Rattus norvegicus: one gene and its partners. The protein of the gene in region 1 interacts with the protein of each later gene in a biochemical or structural test. Links are inferred from orthologs where the notes say so. Each region holds a gene or a part of one and is shown in the gene's direction. Other genes may lie near its edges.

Evidence for each region.
Region 2: the proteins of Bmpr2 (region 1) and Bmp4 form a complex in vitro, tested with the Homo sapiens proteins (2 studies listed by BioGRID). The link is inferred for Rattus norvegicus from reciprocal best matches to the Homo sapiens genes BMPR2 and BMP4.
Region 3: the proteins of Bmpr2 (region 1) and Gdf2 form a complex in vitro, tested with the Homo sapiens proteins (2 studies listed by BioGRID). The link is inferred for Rattus norvegicus from reciprocal best matches to the Homo sapiens genes BMPR2 and GDF2.
Region 4: the proteins of Bmpr2 (region 1) and Bmp2 form a complex in vitro, tested with the Homo sapiens proteins (4 studies listed by BioGRID and IntAct, with this or other methods). The link is inferred for Rattus norvegicus from reciprocal best matches to the Homo sapiens genes BMPR2 and BMP2.
Region 5: the proteins of Bmpr2 (region 1) and Gdf5 form a complex in vitro, tested with the Homo sapiens proteins (2 studies listed by BioGRID and IntAct, with this or other methods). The link is inferred for Rattus norvegicus from reciprocal best matches to the Homo sapiens genes BMPR2 and GDF5.

What each region holds. Positions count from the first base shown.
Region 1 is NC_086027.1:68,791,304-68,794,815, forward strand, and holds part of Bmpr2 (bone morphogenetic protein receptor type-2 precursor), read left to right. Parts: intron 1-156; coding exon 157-1,436; intron 1,437-2,894; coding exon 2,895-3,145; 3' UTR 3,146-3,512. UniProt on the Homo sapiens protein: On ligand binding, forms a receptor complex consisting of two type II and two type I transmembrane serine/threonine kinases.
Region 2 is NC_086033.1:22,099,125-22,103,410, reverse strand, and holds the start of Bmp4 (bone morphogenetic protein 4 precursor), read left to right. Parts: upstream 1-1,477; 5' UTR 1,478-1,483; coding exon of another isoform or gene 1,484-1,608; intron 1,609-2,657; 5' UTR 2,658-2,664; coding exon 2,665-3,037; intron 3,038-4,040; coding exon 4,041-4,286.
Region 3 is NC_086034.1:9,260,481-9,264,482, forward strand, and holds the start of Gdf2 (growth/differentiation factor 2 precursor), read left to right. Parts: upstream 1-1,198; 5' UTR 1,199-1,315; coding exon 1,316-1,658; intron 1,659-4,002. UniProt on the Homo sapiens protein: Potent circulating inhibitor of angiogenesis. Signals through the type I activin receptor ACVRL1 but not other Alks. Signaling through SMAD1 in endothelial cells requires TGF-beta coreceptor endoglin/ENG.
Region 4 is NC_086021.1:141,264,111-141,268,329, forward strand, and holds the start of Bmp2 (bone morphogenetic protein 2 precursor), read left to right. Parts: upstream 1-1,413; 5' UTR 1,414-1,657; intron 1,658-2,709; 5' UTR 2,710-2,716; coding exon 2,717-3,059; intron 3,060-4,219. UniProt on the Homo sapiens protein: Growth factor of the TGF-beta superfamily that plays essential roles in many developmental processes, including cardiogenesis, neurogenesis, and osteogenesis. Induces cartilage and bone formation.
Region 5 is NC_086021.1:164,915,787-164,919,806, reverse strand, and holds the start of Gdf5 (growth/differentiation factor 5 preproprotein), read left to right. Parts: upstream 1-1,213; 5' UTR 1,214-1,451; coding exon 1,452-2,064; intron 2,065-4,012; coding exon 4,013-4,020. UniProt on the Homo sapiens protein: Growth factor involved in bone and cartilage formation. During cartilage development regulates differentiation of chondrogenic tissue through two pathways.

The sequences.
Region 1 (3,512 bases):
CCTCATATACATTCAACTAAAAAAAGCAATAAAAAGACTGTAAAGCATAAAATGAAAAGCAGTGGGGCTTTGGAATCAGTAGTGTTTGCTGGGAATAGATGACAGTTTGTTATTAAGTTTGTGTTCTCAATGTCTACGTTTTTCTCTCTCTTCAAGCAACCTATCACATAATAGGCGTGTGCCAAAAATCGGGCCTTACCCAGATTATTCCTCTTCCTCATATATTGAAGACTCAATTCATCACACTGACAGCATTGTGAAAAATATTTCCTCTGAGCATTCAATGTCCAGCACACCGTTGACAATAGGAGAAAAGAACCGAAACTCAATTAATTATGAACGACAGCAAGCACAAGCTCGAATCCCTAGCCCAGAAACAAGCGTCACAAGCCTGTCCACAAACACAACCACCACAAACACCTCTGGCCTCACTCCAAGTACTGGCATGACCACGATATCTGAGATGCCATACCCAGATGAGACACATTTGCATGCCACAAATGTTGCACAGTCACTCGGGCCAACCCCTGTCTGCTTACAGCTGACAGAAGAAGACTTGGAAACTAATAAGCTAGACCCAAAAGAAGTTGATAAGAACCTCAAGGAAAGCTCTGATGAGAATCTCATGGAGCATTCTCTGAAGCAGTTCAGTGGGCCAGACCCGTTGAGCAGTACCAGTTCCAGCTTGCTTTATCCACTCATAAAGCTTGCGGTGGAAGTGACTGGACAACAGGACTTCACACAGGCTGCAAATGGGCAAGCATGTTTAATTCCTGATGTCCCACCTGCTCAGCTCTATCCTCTCCCTAAGCAACAGAACCTTCCGAAGAGACCTACTAGTTTGCCTTTGAACACCAAAAATTCAACTAAAGAACCCCGGCTAAAATTTGGCAACAAGCACAAATCAAACTTGAAACAAGTAGAAACTGGAGTTGCCAAGATGAATACAATCAATGCAGCAGAGCCTCATGTGGTGACAGTAACTATGAATGGTGTGGCAGGTAGAAGCCACAATGTTAATTCCCATGCTGCCACAACCCAGTATGCCAATGGGGTAGTGCCATCTGGCCAGGCAGCCAACATAGTGGCACATAGGGCCCAAGAAATGCTGCAGAATCAATTTAATGGTGAGGATACCAGACTGAATATCAATTCCAGTCCTGATGAACATGAACCTTTACTGAGACGAGAGCAGCAGGCTGGCCATGATGAAGGGGTTCTGGATCGTTTGGTAGACAGGAGGGAACGGCCATTAGAAGGTGGCCGAACTAATTCCAATAACAACAACAGCAATCCATGTTCAGAACAAGATGTCCCTACACAAGGTGTTACAAGCACAGCTGCAGACCCTGGGCCAGCAAAGCCCAGAAGAGCACAGAGGCCCAATTCTCTGGATCTTTCAGCCACAAATATCCTGGATGGCAGCAGCATGCAGAGTAAGTGTGTGTGTGTGTGTGTGTGTGTGTGTGTGTGTGTGTGTGTGTGTGTGTGTGCATGTGTGTACAGTATACAGAGTAAATGTGTGTGTGTATGTGTGCAGTTTACAGAGTAAGAGTGTGTGTGTGTGCAGTATACAGAGTAAGTGTGTGTGTGTGTGTGTGTGTGTGTGTGTGTCTGTGTGTCTGTGTGTGTGTGTGTGTGTCTGTGTGTGTGTTTGTATTAAGGGGTTGGAAAAATTACTTTATAGACCAGGCTGGTCTTAAATTCCCGAAGTGCTGAGATTAGGAGTGTGCCAACACACCCAGATCTTAATAAATTGTAGAAGTCAAGAGACTTCTTTTATGTGTTTTATGCTTTCTTAAACTAAAGAGTGGACTGAAAGAAGGTCTCCGAATAGCAAATTATCTACCCCTTGCCTGGAGGTGTAGCTCATAGGTAGAGCACCTGCCCATAATACATAAGACCTAGGTTTTAGTTCCAGAACCACAAAGAAAAGAAAACCTGGCTCTTTGCTTAAGTGGTTTATATTACAAGCTAGTTGACTCAACTTTCGTGCTTCTGTATCCATAAAGCTTCTTGTCAAGTATGAAAACAGAATTAATGGGATAATGGTCATCCCTCCAAAACTGTTACGTGTTAGAGACCGTATGATTTGGTCATTTGGACATTGTTTTGCTTTGTCTTTTTGAGACAAGGACTCATTCAGTAACTCACTGTGGCCAGAGGCTGGACTTGAAGTCAGTATCCTTCTCCTTGGATTCTAGGAACTTGGATTACAGGAGTACATCACCCACTCACAGCTAGCCCTGCTGTCAGCATTAAGTCAAATGATACCTGTTTTTAAGCAAGTTGGAGTCTACACCAGAACAAAAGAATTTGAGAATATAATGAAGAATTTTGAATTTTCTTAGTTCTTGTGAGTTTTAATTATTTTTTTAGATAAGACTCAAAACTGAGTTGGTTGAATTTTGCCTAGAGAAACATCACCTAGAATCATCACATATTCAAGAAATGTCCTTCATTGGACTCTATGCTGGCTTGACCTGTTTGTGAAATTCAGCCCCTTGTTCTCCATCCAGCTTAGTTTTGTTTGGTTTTGCTGATAGCGTCTTACACAGCTCAGGCAGGCCTTGTGCGGAGGATCTTGAGCCTCTGACCCTCTTGCTTCTACTTCCAAGGTGCTGTGACTGCCATATGCACCAGGACTGGGGGGCTCTTGTGCTGCTGAGTTGGAGCTCAGGACCCTTTGCATTCTAGGCAAGCACTCCATCAGCTGCATTATATGCCCAACGAACTCCTCTACTTTTAAATATTTTCGGGGTTGGGGATTTAGCTCAGTGGCAGAGCACTTGCCTAGCAAGCGCAAGGCCCTGGGTTCGGTCCCCAGCTCCGAAAAAAAAGAATTAAAAAAAAAATATTTTCCTTTTACACAGCTCATTTCCTTTTGTTTCCAGTAGGTGAGTCAACGCAGGATGGCAAATCAGGATCAGGCGAAAAGATCAAGAGACGTGTGAAAACTCCATACTCTCTTAAGCGGTGGCGCCCATCCACCTGGGTCATCTCCACCGAGCCACTGGACTGTGAGGTCAACAACAATGGCAGTGACAGGGCAGTCCATTCTAAATCTAGCACTGCTGTGTACCTCGCAGAGGGAGGCACTGCCACAACCATGGTGTCTAAAGATATAGGAATGAATTGTCTGTGAGATGTTTTCAAGCTTATGGAGTGAAATTATTTTTTTGCATCATTTAAACATGCAGAAGACATTTTAAAAAAAAAAAAACTGCTTTAACCTCCTGTCAGCACCCCTTCCCACCCCTGCAGCAAGGACTTGCTTTAAATAGATTTCAGCTATGCAGAAAACTTTAGCTTATGCTTCCATATTTTTTAATTTTGTTTTTTAAGTTTTGCACTTTTGTTTAGTCTTGCTAAAGTTCTATTTGTCTGTTATGACCACATTATATGTGTGCTTATCAAAAGTGGTCTCAAAATATTTTTTTTAAGAAAAAAAGCAAAAACAATGTATTGCTGATAATCAGTTTGGACCATTTTCTAAAGGTCATTAAAACAGA
Region 2 (4,286 bases), on another chromosome or scaffold:
TACACTTCTTTCTCAAAGGTTTCCCGAAAGCTTTCCCCGTCCCGAAAACTGGGGCGGGGGGCGGTGAGGCTGGAAAGCAGCCGGACACGTCGAGTTCCTAAGTGAGGCAAAGAGGCCGGGTGGAGCGGGCTCTGGAGCGGGAGTCCCGGGACTCGGGTCCTCCTCGGATGGACCCCGCGCAACGACCTCCTTGAACAGAAGAGTTGCGCTTCCTGAGGTTAGAACAGGCCCACGTGTGTGGCATCTTGGGATAGTCAGGTCACCCCCCGCCCCCGCCCCCGTCATTGCCTGAGTTGTGTGTTGGTGAATTTCTTGGAGGAATCTTTGCTGCGATTCTGTAGCTGGTGCAAAGGAGGAAAGGGGTGGGGGGAAGGAAGTGGCGCGCGCGGGGGTGGGGGGTGGTGGGGGTGGGGGTGGTTTAAAAAGTAAGCCAAGCCGGAGGGAGAGGTCGAGTGCAGGCCGAAAGCTGTTCTCGGGTTTGTAGACGCTTGGGATCGCGCTGGGGTTTCCTTTCCGCGCCGGGTCGGAGTTGTAAAGCCTTTGCGACTCTGAGATCTGAAAAAAAAAAAATGTGATGCGCGCTCTCTCTTCGGCGACGCCTGTTTTGGAATCTGTCTGGAGCTAGGAACCCAGACGTCCACCCCCTCCGCCTTGAATGGCACCGCCGACCGGTTTCTGAAGGATCTGCTTGGCTGGAGCGGACGCTGCGGTTGGCAGACACGGTGCGGGGACTCTGGCGGGGCTACTAGACAGTGCTTCAGAAGCCGCTCCTTCTGACTTTCCCACACCGCTCACACCCTGACACCCCCGCGGCAGACTGAGTTGGCGACGGGGTCAGAGTCTTCTGGCTGGGAGTTAGATCCGCTAGGGGTCGGCGCCTGTCGCTGGAAGCATTATTTGGCCTCTCGGAGACCCTGTGGAGGAAGTGCCGGAGTGTGCGAGTGTGTTTGCCTGTGTGTGCGCGCGCTCTTGGAGGGTCCCTACGCGTTTTCCTTTTCTCGTAACTCTCGGTCGTGAGGCTTTGAAGGAACTGTCTTTTCGGTCGCCCTCTCGGCTGCACTTAAGCCGTGTCGGCGCTGTAAAGAGAAGCGTCTTCAAGTGCACCCTGATCCCTCAACCTTCAGATAACCGGTCCCCGAACCTGGCCAGATGCATTGCACTGCGCGCCGCAGGTAGAGACGTGCCCCACGTCCCCTGCGTGCAGTGACTACGACGGAGAACCCCGCCAGCGGCTGGTGTCCCGCCGAGAGCTCCTCCGAGCAGGCGGGGACAACTCCCAGACGGCTGGGGCTCCAGCTGCGGGCGCGGAGGTTGGCCTCGCTCGCAGGGGCTGGACCCAGCCGGGGTGGGAGGATGGAGGAGGGGCGGGCGGGCTCTTCGGTGAGTGGGGCGGGGCCTCTGGGTCCACGTGACTCCTAGGGGCTGGAAGAAAAACAGAGCCTGTCTGCTCCAGAGTCTCATTATATTCAAATATTCATTTTAGGAGCCATTCCGTAGTGCCATTCCGAGCGACGCACTGCCGCAGCTTCTCTGAGCCTTTCCAGCAAGTTTGTTCAAGATTGGCTCCCAAGAATCATGGACTGTTATTATATGCCTTGTTTTCTGTCAGTGAGTAGACACCTCTTCTTTCCCCCTCTTGGGATTTCATTCTGTCTTCCCACCCCTGATCGCTGTCTGTCCCTCCCGTCGGACTTCCATTCCAATGTCCGCGCCCCACTCTCAGGCAGCGCTGTCGCTCTCTTTCCTGGCCCCTGAAGGCCAGACGCTCGAAGCGTACGGGGTCCTTCTAAAGCGCTCCCACTGTCTTCTCTGATCCGCTGCGTTGCAAGAAAGTGGGGAACGCGAAGGACCAAAGAGATGAAAGGTCCGCAGGTCCGGGCTGTCCCTTGAGGGCTAACCACTCCCTTCCCAGTCCGGTCCCACTAGCCTGGGAAGGCCAGTTCTTTGCCTCATGTCAAAAAAAAAAAAAAAATTACCCGTGTTCGCTTCGGAATCACCCCTACCCTTCCCTGGGAACAAGACTTTTTCCTGAACATTTTCAACGCAGCGACCACAATGAAATAAATCACAAAGTCACTGGGGCAACCCCCCTGACTTTTTTTCCCAGCCACTGGACCTTGCTGCCTGGTCCAAGCCCGGTCGTCGCTGCTCTGTTCTCCCCTCCTCCTGTTCTTAACCAGCTGGAAGTTGTGGAAATTGGGCTGGAGGGAGGAGGAAGGGCGGGGGGTTGTGGTGGAGGAAGAGGGGGAGGCTGAAGGTCCGAAGTGAAGAGCGATGCCATTTTAATTCTCCCTCCCCCACCCCCCTTTTACCCCCTCAATGTTAACTGTTTATCCTTGAAGAAGCCACGCTGAGATCATGGCTCAGATAGCCGTTGGGACAGGATGGAGGCTATCTGATTTGGGGTTATTTGAGTGTAAACAAGTTAGACCAAGTAATTACAGGGCGATTCTTACTTTCGGGCCGTGCATGGCTGCAGCTGGTGTGTGTGTGTGGGGAGGGTGTGAGGGAGAAAACACAAACTTGATCTTTCGGACCTGTTTTACATCTTGGCCGTCGGTTGCTATCCCTATATGCATATGCAGAGACATCTCTATTTCTCGCTATTGATCGGTATTTATTTATTCTTTAACCTTCCACCCCCTCCCCTTCCCCAGAGACACCATGATTCCTGGTAACCGAATGCTGATGGTCGTTTTATTATGCCAAGTCCTGCTAGGAGGCGCGAGCCATGCTAGTTTGATACCTGAGACCGGGAAGAAAAAAGTCGCCGAGATTCAGGGCCACGCGGGAGGACGCCGCTCAGGGCAGAGCCATGAGCTCCTGCGGGACTTCGAGGCGACACTTCTGCAGATGTTTGGGCTGCGCCGCCGTCCGCAGCCGAGCAAGAGCGCCGTCATCCCGGATTACATGAGGGATCTTTACCGGCTCCAGTCTGGGGAGGAGGAGGAAGAAGAGCAGAGCCAGGGAACCGGGCTTGAGTACCCTGAGCGTCCTGCCAGCAGAGCCAACACTGTGAGGAGTTTCCATCACGAAGGTCAGTTTCTGCTCTTAGTCCTGGCGGCGTAGGGTGGGGTGGAGCGCCCGGGCCCCGGCGGAGGGGGGCGGGGGGGGGGTAGCTGGCAGGGCAAGCTGAAGGGGCTGTGGAAGCCCTTGGGGAAGAAGAGTTCAGGTTACATCAAAGCTCCAAGTCCTGGAGGCTGTGGAACAGGGCCACTTACCTTCAACTTTCCAGAGCGCAGCCTCTGAAGGTACTTTCTGGAGACCAGTGGTGGTGGTGATGGGGGAGGGGGGGCGATGTTGAGGAGGAGCGGAGTGACACCACTCAGACGTGGGCTAGCCCCAGCGGTGTGCTTTAGCCATATCAAAGCCGGGGTTTCTGCCCGTTTTGTTCAAAGCACCTACTGAATTTAATATTACAGCTGTGTGTTTGTCAGATTTATTCAATAGGGGCCTTGTAATACGATCTGAATGTTTCCTAGCGGATGTTTCTTTTCCAAAGTAAATCTGAGTTATTAATCCTCCAGCATCATTACTGTGTTGGAATTTATTTTCCCTTCTGTAACATGATCAACAAGGCATGCTCTGTGTTTCCAGGATCGCTGGGGAAATGTTTGGTAACATACTCGAAAGTGGAGAGGGAGAGAGAGAGAGAGGGTGGCCCCTCTTTTTCTTTACAACCACTTGTAAAGAAAACTGTACACAAAGCCAAGAGGGGGGCTTTCAAAGGGGAGTCCGAGGGTGGTGGAGTAAAAGAGTTGACACATGGAAATTATTAGGCATATAAAGGAGCTCGGGAGATACTTTCTGTCTTTGGTGCTTGACAAATGTGAGCTGAGTTCTGCTGGTTTGCTGGCTGCCCCGTTTCTCTGCCTTCCCATTAAAAGGCACAGTAATTTCCTCCCCTTAGGTTTCCACTACAAGCAGAGTTCAACCAATTCCCCTATTTTGTTTGTTTGTTTGTTTTTTGTTTTTCTTTTTTCTTTTTTGTCTCAGAAAAGCTCATGGGCCTTTTCTTTTCCCTTTTCAACTGTGCCTAGAACATCTGGAGAACATCCCAGGGACCAGTGAGAGCTCTGCTTTTCGTTTCTTCTTTAACCTCAGCAGCATCCCAGAGAATGAGGTGATCTCCTCTGCAGAGCTCCGGCTATTTCGGGAGCAGGTGGACCAGGGCCCTGACTGGGAACAGGGCTTCCACCGTATAAACATTTATGAGGTTATGAAGCCCCCAGCAGAAATGGTGCCTGGACACCTCATCACACGACTACTGGACACCAGACTAGTCC
Region 3 (4,002 bases), on another chromosome or scaffold:
TACGCACACATACACACTCACACACACATACACACACATACACATACGCACACACACTCACACACATACACACATACACACTCACACACATACACACACATATACACACACTCACACACACATACACATACACACATACACATACTCACACACACTCACACACACACATACACACACATACACATACACACACACACACTCACACACATACACATACGCGCACACACACTCACATTCACACACACATACACACATACACACTCACACACATACACATATACACACACTCACATACACACACATACACATACTCACACACACTCACACACACTCACACACATACTCACACACACACTCACACACACACTCACACACACATACACACTTCTACACTTGTATACTTGCATGCACCAGCACCATACAGAGCAGGGTCAGGGATGGAGCTCAGAGCCTCAGATACATGTGTTTGTGGGACTAATGAGCAGCCAGCTTCCTCCCCCAGCACAGTCAGAGCCAGCACTGGAGGGTGGCTTGAACATGACCACCCACTGTCAGGAGCTGGAAGTGGCCTACATGTAGGCAAACGCATCTTCTAAAAGGAAGCTCAAAGGGCCCAGGCCACAGCGTGGAGGAACAGTGGGAACAGGAGCTATCATCTGTTTTGCCTGTCCACAGAATGCCCTGGGCCCGTCCACACTCCATTCTCAATACTCAGGAGCTCTTCCCTCAGAGGGCAGCGCCCAGATACACTGCCGGGTCCCGTAAGGATACCGTAAGGACCAGACTTCGCCTACCCCTGATGCAATCTCCCACACCTCCCCACCTTCCTGACCCCCACAGCTCGTGTCATCTTCTGGGTACTTGGTGAGCTTTCTATATTTAGGGAACTTCCCAGCCTCATTTTCTGAATTCTTTGTTTCTGTGGTCCAGCAGAGAAGGTCTGTGTACCCTGCCTGGAGTTTTCTGAACCAAGCCAGCAAGGAAATGGACAAAGATCCTAATTAGGGTGGATGACCCTCCGGAGAAATGTCGATCCTTTACAGTAGTCAGGATCCTTCCCACCAGCCCCTGGTGCTTGTCAGATGTTTATACAGCCTTCATTAAAGAGAGCTGCCTTAGATAAGAGGTCTGAGCATAGCATCCACACCCAGATAAGTAGAGTGGGAGATTGTCGGGCTGTTGGGGAGAACTGAGCCAGCCAGGCTCCCTGCTGAGCAGTCAACAGGACAATGTGGGCCTGTTCCTCCTGGGCTCCCCATTGCACCTAGTGATACAACACAACGGCCTGCAGGGCAGTCCCCCTTTAGGGCCCAAGATGTCCCCTGGGGCCTTCCGGGTGGTCCTGCTCACGCTGCTCCTGCTGGTCTGTCCCACGCAGCAGAAGCCGCTGCAGAGCTGGGGGCAGGCATCCCCTGGGGGAAATGCCCGCAGCTCCCTGGGATTGTCTGGAAGCAGAGAGGAGGGCGTCTTTGACCTGAAGATGTTTCTGGAGAACATGAAAGTGGACTTCCTGCGCAGCCTTAACCTGAGTGGCATTCCCTCTCAGGACAAAACCAGAGCGGAGCCACCCCAGTACATGATCGACTTGTACAACAGATACACTACGGACAAGTCGTCCACGCCTGCCTCCAACATCGTGCGGAGCTTCAGCGTGGAAGGTACAGTGCTTTCCCCGGACTTCCATGGGGTGGGACATAGTGCGCCCTGCCCCCCACAGTGCAGTGGCTCTGCCGGGTGGGATGGCCACTGACCACAAGCGGATCTTCAGGTTTCTATTGAAGTGACCCTTGGTGAAATAGGGAGAAAATACGAGTTTCCTGTTCATCATTCGCGTGTGGCTAATGGCTTCCCCACAAGGCAGTGCGAATCATGGGTCCTGTCCATCAACACTAAAGGGTCCGGTGCACAGCCTGGCTCCTCCCCAGAATCATATCCACGGTTAACCCCGTATCCAGTATACCAGGTTTCTGCGTCCCTCTGTCCACTTCCTCACCTTCTTTTTCTTTCCCTGATTTTTGCTTCAGTCTCCTTCGATCTCCTTCTGTCCTCCCCCACTTCCCCTCCCTCCTCTCTCACGCCTCCTCTTCCCTCTCCTCCCTTTTCTTTCCACTTGACTTCTCTTCCTCTTCCCTTCCTATCTTCCTCTCTCCCTTCCCATCTTCTTCTGACTTAGAAATAGATCCTTCATTTAGCCTTCAATAAACTTGTATTTTTTTTCAGCTTTAAAGGAAAGGGTTCTCTCTTATAAAGTGCACTTTAGACCCAGATTTTAAAAAGTTAATAGAGTAGGACTAGAAGAGGCCCTCATTATGTCCAGGGTGTAATCTTCCTCAGGGCAGTAGGCAGTGTGTCGGTCCAATACGTTTTCCCTGCCAAGTGTCCATGATTTAGGAAGATTAGAAGGCAAACACGGAGGCGAGGTCTATAACTGGCAAGTCACAGAACAACAGAATCTGGGTAGAATGAGTTACTGAACAGAGAGCTAGGGTCACCAAGGCTGAGGAACCCAGGTCAGGCACCCACTGCGAGGTCACGTTGCCGTCCCTACATCCTGCATAAAACCAGCTCCAGTCGCCCCTTCTTCTGTTTGGCATCTTGCTCTGAAGGACCCGGAGCCCAGGTCCTTTCTCTCTTTCTTGTCCAGAGATTTGCAAATGCCCAAGGGTCCCAGTTCAGGGCCACAGCCAGGCCCGGCCAGATCTGTCCAACTTTTCTGGCTGCTCAACAGGAAGTTTCAGAGGAACATGAAACTTCCTGTTTAATGGCTTCGTTAAAAGCATATAGTTTAAGCCACTACCTAAAGACTATACATGGACTGACCCTGGACTCTGACCTCATAGGTAGCAATGAATATCCTAGTAAGAGCACCAGTGGAAGGGGAAGCCCTGGGTCCTGCTAAGACTGAACCCCCAGTGAACTAGACTGTTGGGGGGAGGGCGGCAATGGGGGGAGGGTGGGGAGGGGAACACCCATAAAGAAGGGGAGGGGGAGGGATTAGGGGGCTGTTTGCCCGGAAACCAGGAAAGGGAATAACATTCGAAATGTATATAAGAAATACTCAAGTTAATAAAAAAAAAAAAGCATATAGTTTATAGGTCACCAGGCCCCTGGGTTTGTCTAGGATCTCTACCTAGGGTAAAGGCTGGTTGTTTTTTTTTTTTGTTTGTTTGTTTTGTTTTGTTTTGTTTTTGTTTTGTAATTGGGGACCTAAGTCGTCATATCCCACAGGCCAGAATGTGAGCCCAGCCAGAGATCCCAACCCCCTCCACGTATGTCATTGACGCAATTAACTCCGTGTACTCAGTAGCAGCAACATCAACACCGTTCACGTGTGACCTAGGAAACACTCGCCTAATGCCCGTGGGTGTGTGGTTTCTGGTGTCTGGCAGTGAGTGGTTCCACAGCCACTGTGGAGGTAGCCAGAGTGAGGGCGCCATGCTTTGTCACATGCACTGGGCTTGCACGGGGTTGGAGGGGACAGAAGTGTCATCTAAGCATCAGCTGCTGGCTTGTGAGTGGCCTGCGAGCTTCATGAGCCACCTTGATAAACTGGTGAGAAGGGCCCTGTGGTGCAAGAGAGGAAACGGAGGCAACAAAAGGCTAAAAATTTCCCAAGGATACAAGTCCCCAGTGAGGGACCATCAGGTTGACCCCTCTATTCTCCAGACCAGTCGCTAGATCTCAGTAGCATGGGTCTCTGCTTATCTTTCCCCATGCAATAGACCCATCTGAGAGAGCCTAGGCCTATTTCTGAGGTTCTACTGTGTCTATTAAATGTACATCTAGAAACAAACAGCTCATAATTTCGAAGTCACTTTTGTCACGGGTATATTTTTTTAAACTTCCCATTTTCTTTACTCTCGGTTAAGCTCTGGCTGAGCCTGATTTACACACTTTGCATCAGCACGGGCGTGCGTGCACACAGAAGGAACACGGTGTGCAGGGCTTAGAACTACCTGTACCTCCGGGCATCCAGTGGTTGTATCAGAACACGTCTCCTAT
Region 4 (4,219 bases), on another chromosome or scaffold:
ATTTATTTGACTATATATGCACATGGGCGCATATAAATGTATGAATATTTATAAAATGTAATAATACACTCGAATGTGTATTGGCTATTTCTTGACATTTTCTTCTCACCATTCAAAACAGAGAAGCGTTTGCTCACATCTTTGCCAACATGTCTGATAACTTCTAGGTTCTTCTTTTTAATGTGATCTTACCTAAAAACTTCAAACTCAAGTTGAATATTGGCCCAGTGGGGGAACTCAGAGGCAAGCCTACCCTGAATTTGCCCTAAACTCGGGCATCTGGGGCACGAATCCTGGTCCCGGGGGTCTGCTTTACACTCAGCCGGGACGCGACCCCTTAGCGGCCGCGCGCTCGCCCCGCCCCGCCCCGCCGCGGCCGCCCCTCAGGGCGCGCCGTCCACACCCCTGCGCGCTGCTCCCGCCCGCCCGGGGATCCCCAGCGCGCTGCGCCTCCGAGGGGGAGGTGTTCGGCCACGGCCGGGAGGGAGCCGGCAGGCGGCGTCTCCTTTAAAAGCCGCGAGCGCCGCGCCACGGCGCCTCCGTCGTCGCCGCCGGAGTCCTCGCCCTGCCGCGCAGAGCCCGGCTCGCACTGCGCCCGCCGCTGCGCTTCCCACAGCCCGCCCGGGATTGGCAGCTCGGGACGAAGCCTCCCTAGCCCACACCGGCCATCGGACGCCCTCAGGGCGAGCGACGCGAGGGTCACCCGGGGCTTCGAGGGGCCGGCACGACACCGGTTGGAGCTGCGAACTGTGCGCGCCCGGCTCTGTGGCCTCAGCTGTCCGGGAGAAGCCAGAGTCGCGGACCGACGCTAAGAGCCGGGAGTCCGGAGCACAGTCTTACCCTCAACGCTGGGCTACTCCGACACGAGAGTGAGCGCCCGAGGCGAGCAGGAAGAGTGATCGGACCCCAGGCTGCCACAAAAGACACTTGGCCCGAGGGCTCGGAGCGTGAGGTCACCCGGTTTGGCAGCCGGGGACGCGCGGCTGGACTGTCTCGAGAATGAGCCCCAGGACGCCGGGACGCCGCAGCCGTGCGGGTTCCGCTGGCGAGCGCTGATGGGGGTGCGCCAGAGTCAGGCTGAGGGATGCGGAGTGGCGGCCCGCCCGCCACCCAGATCTTCGCTGCGCCCTTGCCGGGACCCGGCGTCGCCCACGATGGCTGCCCCGAGCCATGGGTCGCGGCCCAGCTAACGCAGAACGTCCGACCCTCGCCCGGCGAGTCCCGGAGCCGGCCCCGCGCCCCGCCAGCGCTGGTCCCTGAGGAAGACGACAGCAGCAGCCTTGCCTCAGCCTTCCCTCCCCGTCCCTGCCCCGCACTCCTCCCCCTGCTTGAGGCTGTGTGTCAGCACTTGGCTGGAGACTTCTTGAACTTGTCGGGAGAGTGACTTGGGCTCCCCACTTCGCGCCGGTGTCCTCGCCCGGCGGATCCAGTCTTGCCGCCGCCTCCAGCCCGGTCACCTCTCTGTTCCTTGGCCGGCTGGGCCCACCCCAAGACACGGTTCCCTTCGGGGAGAACACCCGGAGAAGGAGGAGGTGAAGAAAGGCAACAGAAGCCCAGTCGCTGCTCCAGGTCCCTCGGACAGAGCTTTTTCCATGTGGAGACTCTCTCAATGGACGTGCCCCCTAGTGCTTCTTAGACGGACTGCGGTCTCCTAAAGGTAGAGGACACGGGCCCGGACCCAGGGCTGGCGGGTGACACCGCTTCCCGCCCGGCGGCGCTGGGCGCCTCGGAGGACCGGTGGAGTGGACGTAAACATACCCTCTCCCGGTGCACGTGCAGCGAGCGGATCCCTAGAGGGGTCAGGCACTCTGAACCCCAGATCCCTCTGTCTTGCCCACCTGGTCTGCGACCTCCTTTCAGCCCGTTCCTCCTCCCCAGTTTTAAATACATTATCAGGGCTGTTTTGGGCTTTACCCCCTCCTCCGCCCCCAAATTGCAGAAATCCATTTAGAGAGTATGGCCGGTGGATTTCACTAGTTCATTGCCCACCAGCACTCCAAGCCTTAGAGATCCTTCGCTATCCTTAAGAACTAGGTCCCATTTAGGAAGCTACTAAAAGTCGGGGTTCTTTTTGTGTGTGTTTACTGACTGTGCGGATGTGTCACAGCTTACACGTGCATTTATAGACACTATCTATTTAGGTCATTGCAGAAAGGTGCATGGATTTCTTGACTGCACAGGGGTCTGGAGAAGGGGACAGAGTGGCCTGTGGGTCAACCTTGAAGTTAGGGGCGTAGGCCACGACTTGCAAGTGGCGTCATTAGTATTAATCTTTAGTTTACCGCTTTCTGAATCTACAATCTACCAGGAAGTTCTATACGGCGCCTCTAAGGAAGTCACTTGTGCATTTGTGTCTGTTTATGTGCAAATGAACGCTGTGCAGTATAGTTGTAAGGGATGCAGTGTCCGAACAATCTATGGGTTCCCAGCTTCCTGACACAGGCTTTACTAGCTAGTGTCACAAGAAAAGGTGACAGACAGTCATTGATTTTTCTTTTTTAAATTGGGAGTTAAGACCAAGCCCCAAGTGAGAAGTCCGGCTGGGACTTAGGGGTTCTTCATCCTCTTGATCATCCAGGCTGTAGCTTGGATGACATGCCAGGAGGGCATCCTGGAGAAGGCCAGCGAGCCCTGTGGGAGCCGGGGCCGCGGGGGCGGGCGGAGGACTGGGCGGGGAACGTGGGTGACTCACGTCGGCCCTGTCCGCAGGTCGACCATGGTGGCCGGGACCCGCTGTCTTCTAGTGTTGCTGCTTCCCCAGGTCCTCCTGGGCGGCGCGGCCGGCCTCATTCCGGAGCTGGGCCGCAAGAAGTTCGCCGGGGCATCCGGCCGCCCCTTGTCCCGGCCTTCGGACGACGTCCTCAGCGAGTTTGAGTTGAGGCTGCTCAGCATGTTTGGCCTGAAGCAGAGACCCACCCCCAGCAAGGACGTCGTGGTGCCCCCCTATATGCTCGACCTGTACCGCCGGCACTCGGGCCAGCCAGGAGCGCCCGCCCCAGACCACCGGCTGGAGAGGGCAGCCAGCCGCGCCAACACCGTGCGCAGCTTCCATCACGAAGGTGAGCGGGCGGCGGGTGGCGGGGCGGGGACAGCGGGCGGAGACTCAGTGGGCAGCCCGGGCCTCCGCTAGCACAGTGGACGGTCCTTCGGCTTCTGTACCGTCCCCTCTGTGGCCCCGAGCCAGGGATTCCCCACTGGTGAGTCCGCACCCTTTTCCTGGCAGGTGGCCAGCAGACAGACTCCTCCCCACTAGAACTGGAGGGAAATCGAGTGATGGGGAAGAGGGTGAGAGACTGGCTAGCCCCTTGTCAGCTCATTGTGGGAGAATTTCACAGAAGGCAGGGAGTTGGGGCTCCTTAAATCTGTGTGGAAGCTCAGATCTGTGGCTTGTGTTCAGGCTGGAGTTTTAAGCTAGGCAGAGGTAGTATTAACAAATCAAATCCAGGGCCCCAAAGCATTCAAATTTGCTGTTCATCTGGGCCTCGTTTGAAAGATTTTTGAATCCCTATCTAATCCCCGTGGGAGATCAATTCCACAATCCATCATACTGTTTCCCCAATGACCTTCCTTTCTCCTGCTTAACTCTTAAGTCTCCAAGTGGAGACAGGTCAAGCCTTCAGATAAAAGCATTTTCTCCCACTGCCTGCTACCTTCCTAGACAAGGTAATGGAATTTTTAAAAAAATACGATATGAGTATGGTTTCCCAAGGTAGAGTAATGTTTATTTCTTCGGAAGGAGATTTAGTGGGTAAGACATGCTGTAGAGGCCTATTGAAGTCTCTTGTGCCAATGTCCTTATAGCAGTTAGTAAAAATAATAATAATAATAATAATAATAATAATAATAATAATAATAATAATCGTGCCTCAGTTCAATTCCGTGTGTGTCACTTTAAATGTGCTTTTGGTTTAATGCAATCTCAATAGGATATCAGTTCCTTCAAGTTCTAGAAGAATTCAGAGTTGTCTGTCAGTGAGCTGCAATTTATAGAACAATGGGGAGCTAGGAGAGAAGTTCCCTTTTTAAAGCTTCGCTTTGCCTTTCTTGAGAGGATACATTTTAAGTAGAAATCTATGCTCTGAAATGGCAGCCCAACCCCCATCCCCAATAAGGGATGACTCAAACTTTGAGAAGTCTGGTTGATAATAGGAAAAAGAGCCACCGGCAGGTCACATAGCAAGGGGTGTATCTTCCTTGAGGCAGCCAATGGTTATGAAGG
Region 5 (4,020 bases), on another chromosome or scaffold:
TGAGGCCATCGTGAGTTACCTGAGACATTATCTAAAGAAGAAAAGGAAGAGAGGGAGAGGGGACTCTCTTCAGTTAAGCAGGTATTCAATTCTTCACCAGCTCCTAGAAAAACAACCCCCGGAGAACTTGTTTTTCCAACTTCCTGCAGGGGTCGCTGCTGCCTTAGGCTGGGGCTGCCACCTCGGGCCTCAGCCAATTTCTAAGAAAACTGGCGGTCTTTGCTTGGGTAGTGGCTGAGGTACGCACACCCTGGACCTGTTTCCAGCCAAGGGGGCTACAGGATGGCAGTGCTCAGCCAATGGCATTTGGTGGGGGTGGTATAGTGGGCAATGACTTTTTTTTTCCTGTTTTTTGGGTCACAAGTTTATCAAAATAAAAGAAAGTGTGGGTAAACGCTGCCATCTGTGCTGTCCTCAACACACGCACACACATGTGCACACACACATATATACACACACACACACCCTACACACCACACTCCACACCACACACACACACACACCCCACACACACCCCACACTCTACACCACACACACACACACACACACACACACACACACACCCGAGGTCCCAGATGAGACAGAGAGATTGAAATTGCTTTACAGACACTCCAAGGACTTCACTGAAAACCTACCTCGCATGTTTAGTCCCTGCAGGTCTCTGCACTCGCTCTTCAATCTCTCCACTCAGGATGGTGGGGTGAGCTGCTCCAGGAGGTGGAGGTGAAGACCCCTGAGTCTACTCTGGGATGGGGAGGCCCCCTAAGCCTGAGTCCTGCTATGGGGCTCTGAGCCAAGAGCCCCCATGAGCCATGGCCTCCAAAGGGCAGCGGTGATTTTTTTCACATAAATATATCGCACTTAAATGAATTTAGACAGCATGACATCAGAGAGTAATTAAATTGGTTTGGGTTGGAATTCCGTTTCCAATTCCTGAGTTCAGGTTTGTAAAAGATTTTTCTGAGCACCTGCAGGTTTGTGTGTGTGTGTGTGTGTGTGTGTGTGTGTGTGTGTGTAAGTATTTTCACTGGAAAGGATTCAAAATTAGAGGGAAAAAAAACTGGAGCGCACAGGCAGCATTACGCCATTCTTCCTTCTTGGAAAAATCCCTCAGCCTTATACAAGCCTCCTTCAAGCCCTCAGTCAGTTGTGCGGGAGAAAGGGGGCGGTCGGCTTTCTCCTTTCAAGAACGAGTTATTTTCAGCTGCTGACTGGAGACGGTGCACGTCTGGACACGGGAGCATTTCCACTATGGGACTGGATACAGACACACGCCCGGCGGACTTCAAGACGCTCACTCTGAGGAGAAAGCCCTGCCTGCCGCTGCTGCTACTGCTGCCACCGCTGCCTCTGAAGACCCACTCCTTTCATGGTTTTTCCTGCCAAGCCAGAGACACCTTCGCTGCTGCTGCTGCCTTTCTCTGTGGTGTCATTCAGCGGCTGGCCAGAGGATGAGACTCCCCAAACTCCTCACTTTGTTGCTTTGGCACCTGGCGTGGCTGGACCTGGGACTCGTCTGCACTGTGTTGGGTGCCCCTGACTTAGGCCAGAGACCCCCAGGGGCCAGGCCAGGGTTGGCCAAGGCGGAGGCCAAGGAGAGGCCACCTCTGACTCGGAATATCTTTAGGCCAGGGGGTCACAGCTATGGTGTGGGGGCCACCAGTGCCAGGGCAAAGGGAAGCTCTGGGCAGACACAGGCCAAGAAGGATGAACCCAGAAAGGTGCCCCCCAGAGCCAGTGGCTCTGAAACCAAGCCAGGACCCTCTCCCCAGACTAGGCAGGCTGCAGCCCGGACTGTAACCCCAAAAGGACAGCTTTCTGGGGGCAAAGCATCTGCAAAAGCAGGATCTGCCCCCAGCTCCTTCTTGCTGAAGAAGACCAGAGAGCCTGGGACCCCTCGAGAGCCTAAGGAGCCATTCCGCCCGCCCCCCATCACACCCCACGAATATATGCTCTCGCTGTACAGGACGCTGTCCGATGCTGACAGAAAGGGAGGCAACAGCAGCGTGAAGCTGGAGGCTGGCCTGGCCAACACCATCACCAGCTTTATTGACAAAGGGCAAGGTGAGGGGGTGGGGTGGCAGGGAGGGGCATTTGCACAGACCTAGAAGTTCCAAAGTCTTGGAGTATGCAGGTGGGGGACAGTGTGTGTACCCAGCCTAGGGTGGGAATCTGGAACTTATCGTACCTAGGGACCTTGGAGTTCAACTTCTGCAAGGTGCAGAATGGACTCTAAAATGCAGAGAGGAGCTAAGATCTGCTACTTGGACACTAGACTCCAAGACCCATTCTTGATTACTGAGAGGTACTCTGTACCCCCGTGGGTTGGTAAAGTCTCTAAGCTTCGGTTTTTCTCAGAGAGCAGAGAGAAGGAAACTTTAGGTCCCCATGGTTCTTCAACTTTACCCTCAGATAGGGGTAGAGGGAGCAGGCTATGTGAGGACAGAAAACTTGTCATCTTGGAGTCACAGAGAGAGGCAGCTGGCTGAGGGCACACGGAGTCCCTTCTTCCCTGGGGTCTCTTCTTATAGGTATACTACACGGGCATTGGACGGGGTGACAGCTGAGCATTCTGAGTGGGAATCAGTAACCTGGGAGAGTACTTGTCTTTCTTGCGTCGCCGGAGGTCTGCCCACCTAGTGTTTCAGGCTCTTCCTCTCAACTTGCTGTGTGTTCTCAGCAAATCTCTTCCCTTCTGAGTCTCAGGTTCTCCACAGTGTGGAGATAGTTGGGCCGGTGGCTGGCAGTTGGTGAGGTTTCTTGCGGGTTCACAGGCTCTGGTGCTGAGTCTCGGGACTTTGGCTGGCAGGGTGGGGGAGGGGCCAGAGAGTGGGAGAGGCTTCTCATTAGAGTTGGTCTGTAGGGGAATGACAAGGGGGTGGGGGAGGTACAGAGGCAGCAGGTCTGGCAGAGGTGGGGGAGGTGGCCTGGCTGCCTGCCCAGCCAGGGAAAGCTGTGACCCCTCGAGGGCTCATAAAATAAGTCCTTGTGTCCCCCCCCAGCACTAAGGGAGAGAGGGGAGGGGGAGATGGGGAGTTTAAAGGCCTAATTAGTTACCTTCTAGAGCAATATTTGAATGTTCCCTAATGGCATATTGGCATTTAGGAAGGAGGGCATGCTGATTCAGAGATTACACACACACACACACACACACACACACACACACACACACACACATACACCCTTATATTTTATACACTCAGTAAATGAATCATATACATACACACATACATATATAGCATCATTTTCAAGTATTCATACAATCCCAACTCTACTTACATATGCCAGTAGCATATATATATATATACACATATATATATATCCATCCTTATACTTACTCATGAACCCAATTGCACACACACACACACACACACACACACACACACACACCCACACCTGGAACACTCATATACCAAAAAAATCATGAAATTGGGAACTTGGGAAGTTGAGTTTGCAGATCGGCTTTGTTACTGATTTGCTGTGTTACCCACGTCAGTTTCCTCCCCAACTCTGTGTCTTGCCCATAGCAAGAACGCTAACATCATTAAGGTATGAGAAGCTCAGAATGGACTATTCAAATTCTAGGCTACAGTTTTACTTCTCTATTTTTCCCCTAGCTAGATGACATTGAATAAGCCCCTAATTTACTCTGCGCTTCAGTTTTCTCCTCTGGAAAAGTGGGTAAGACAGGTACACACCTCCTGTCTTATTTACAGGAGATAATCATGCTGGATCATGGATGGGGCGGACACTGGTAGAAGACAGTTATAAGGCCAATGACTCTAATACACATGGGCACAAACATCAGGGGCACTCAGATAATACGCAGCCTCATACCTACCTTCATTGGGAAAAGGGCTCTTGGTGGTTTGTGTGTTGGCTTCAGCCATAGTGGGGAAGAGGTTAGAGAAACCTCTTTTGATTGGGAGAGAGCTAGGTCCTCTCTGGAGACCCAGAGGTGGCGGGCTCTCTTGGTGAAGTGACAGAATTGACTTCTGACTGTTTTCTCTAGATGACCGA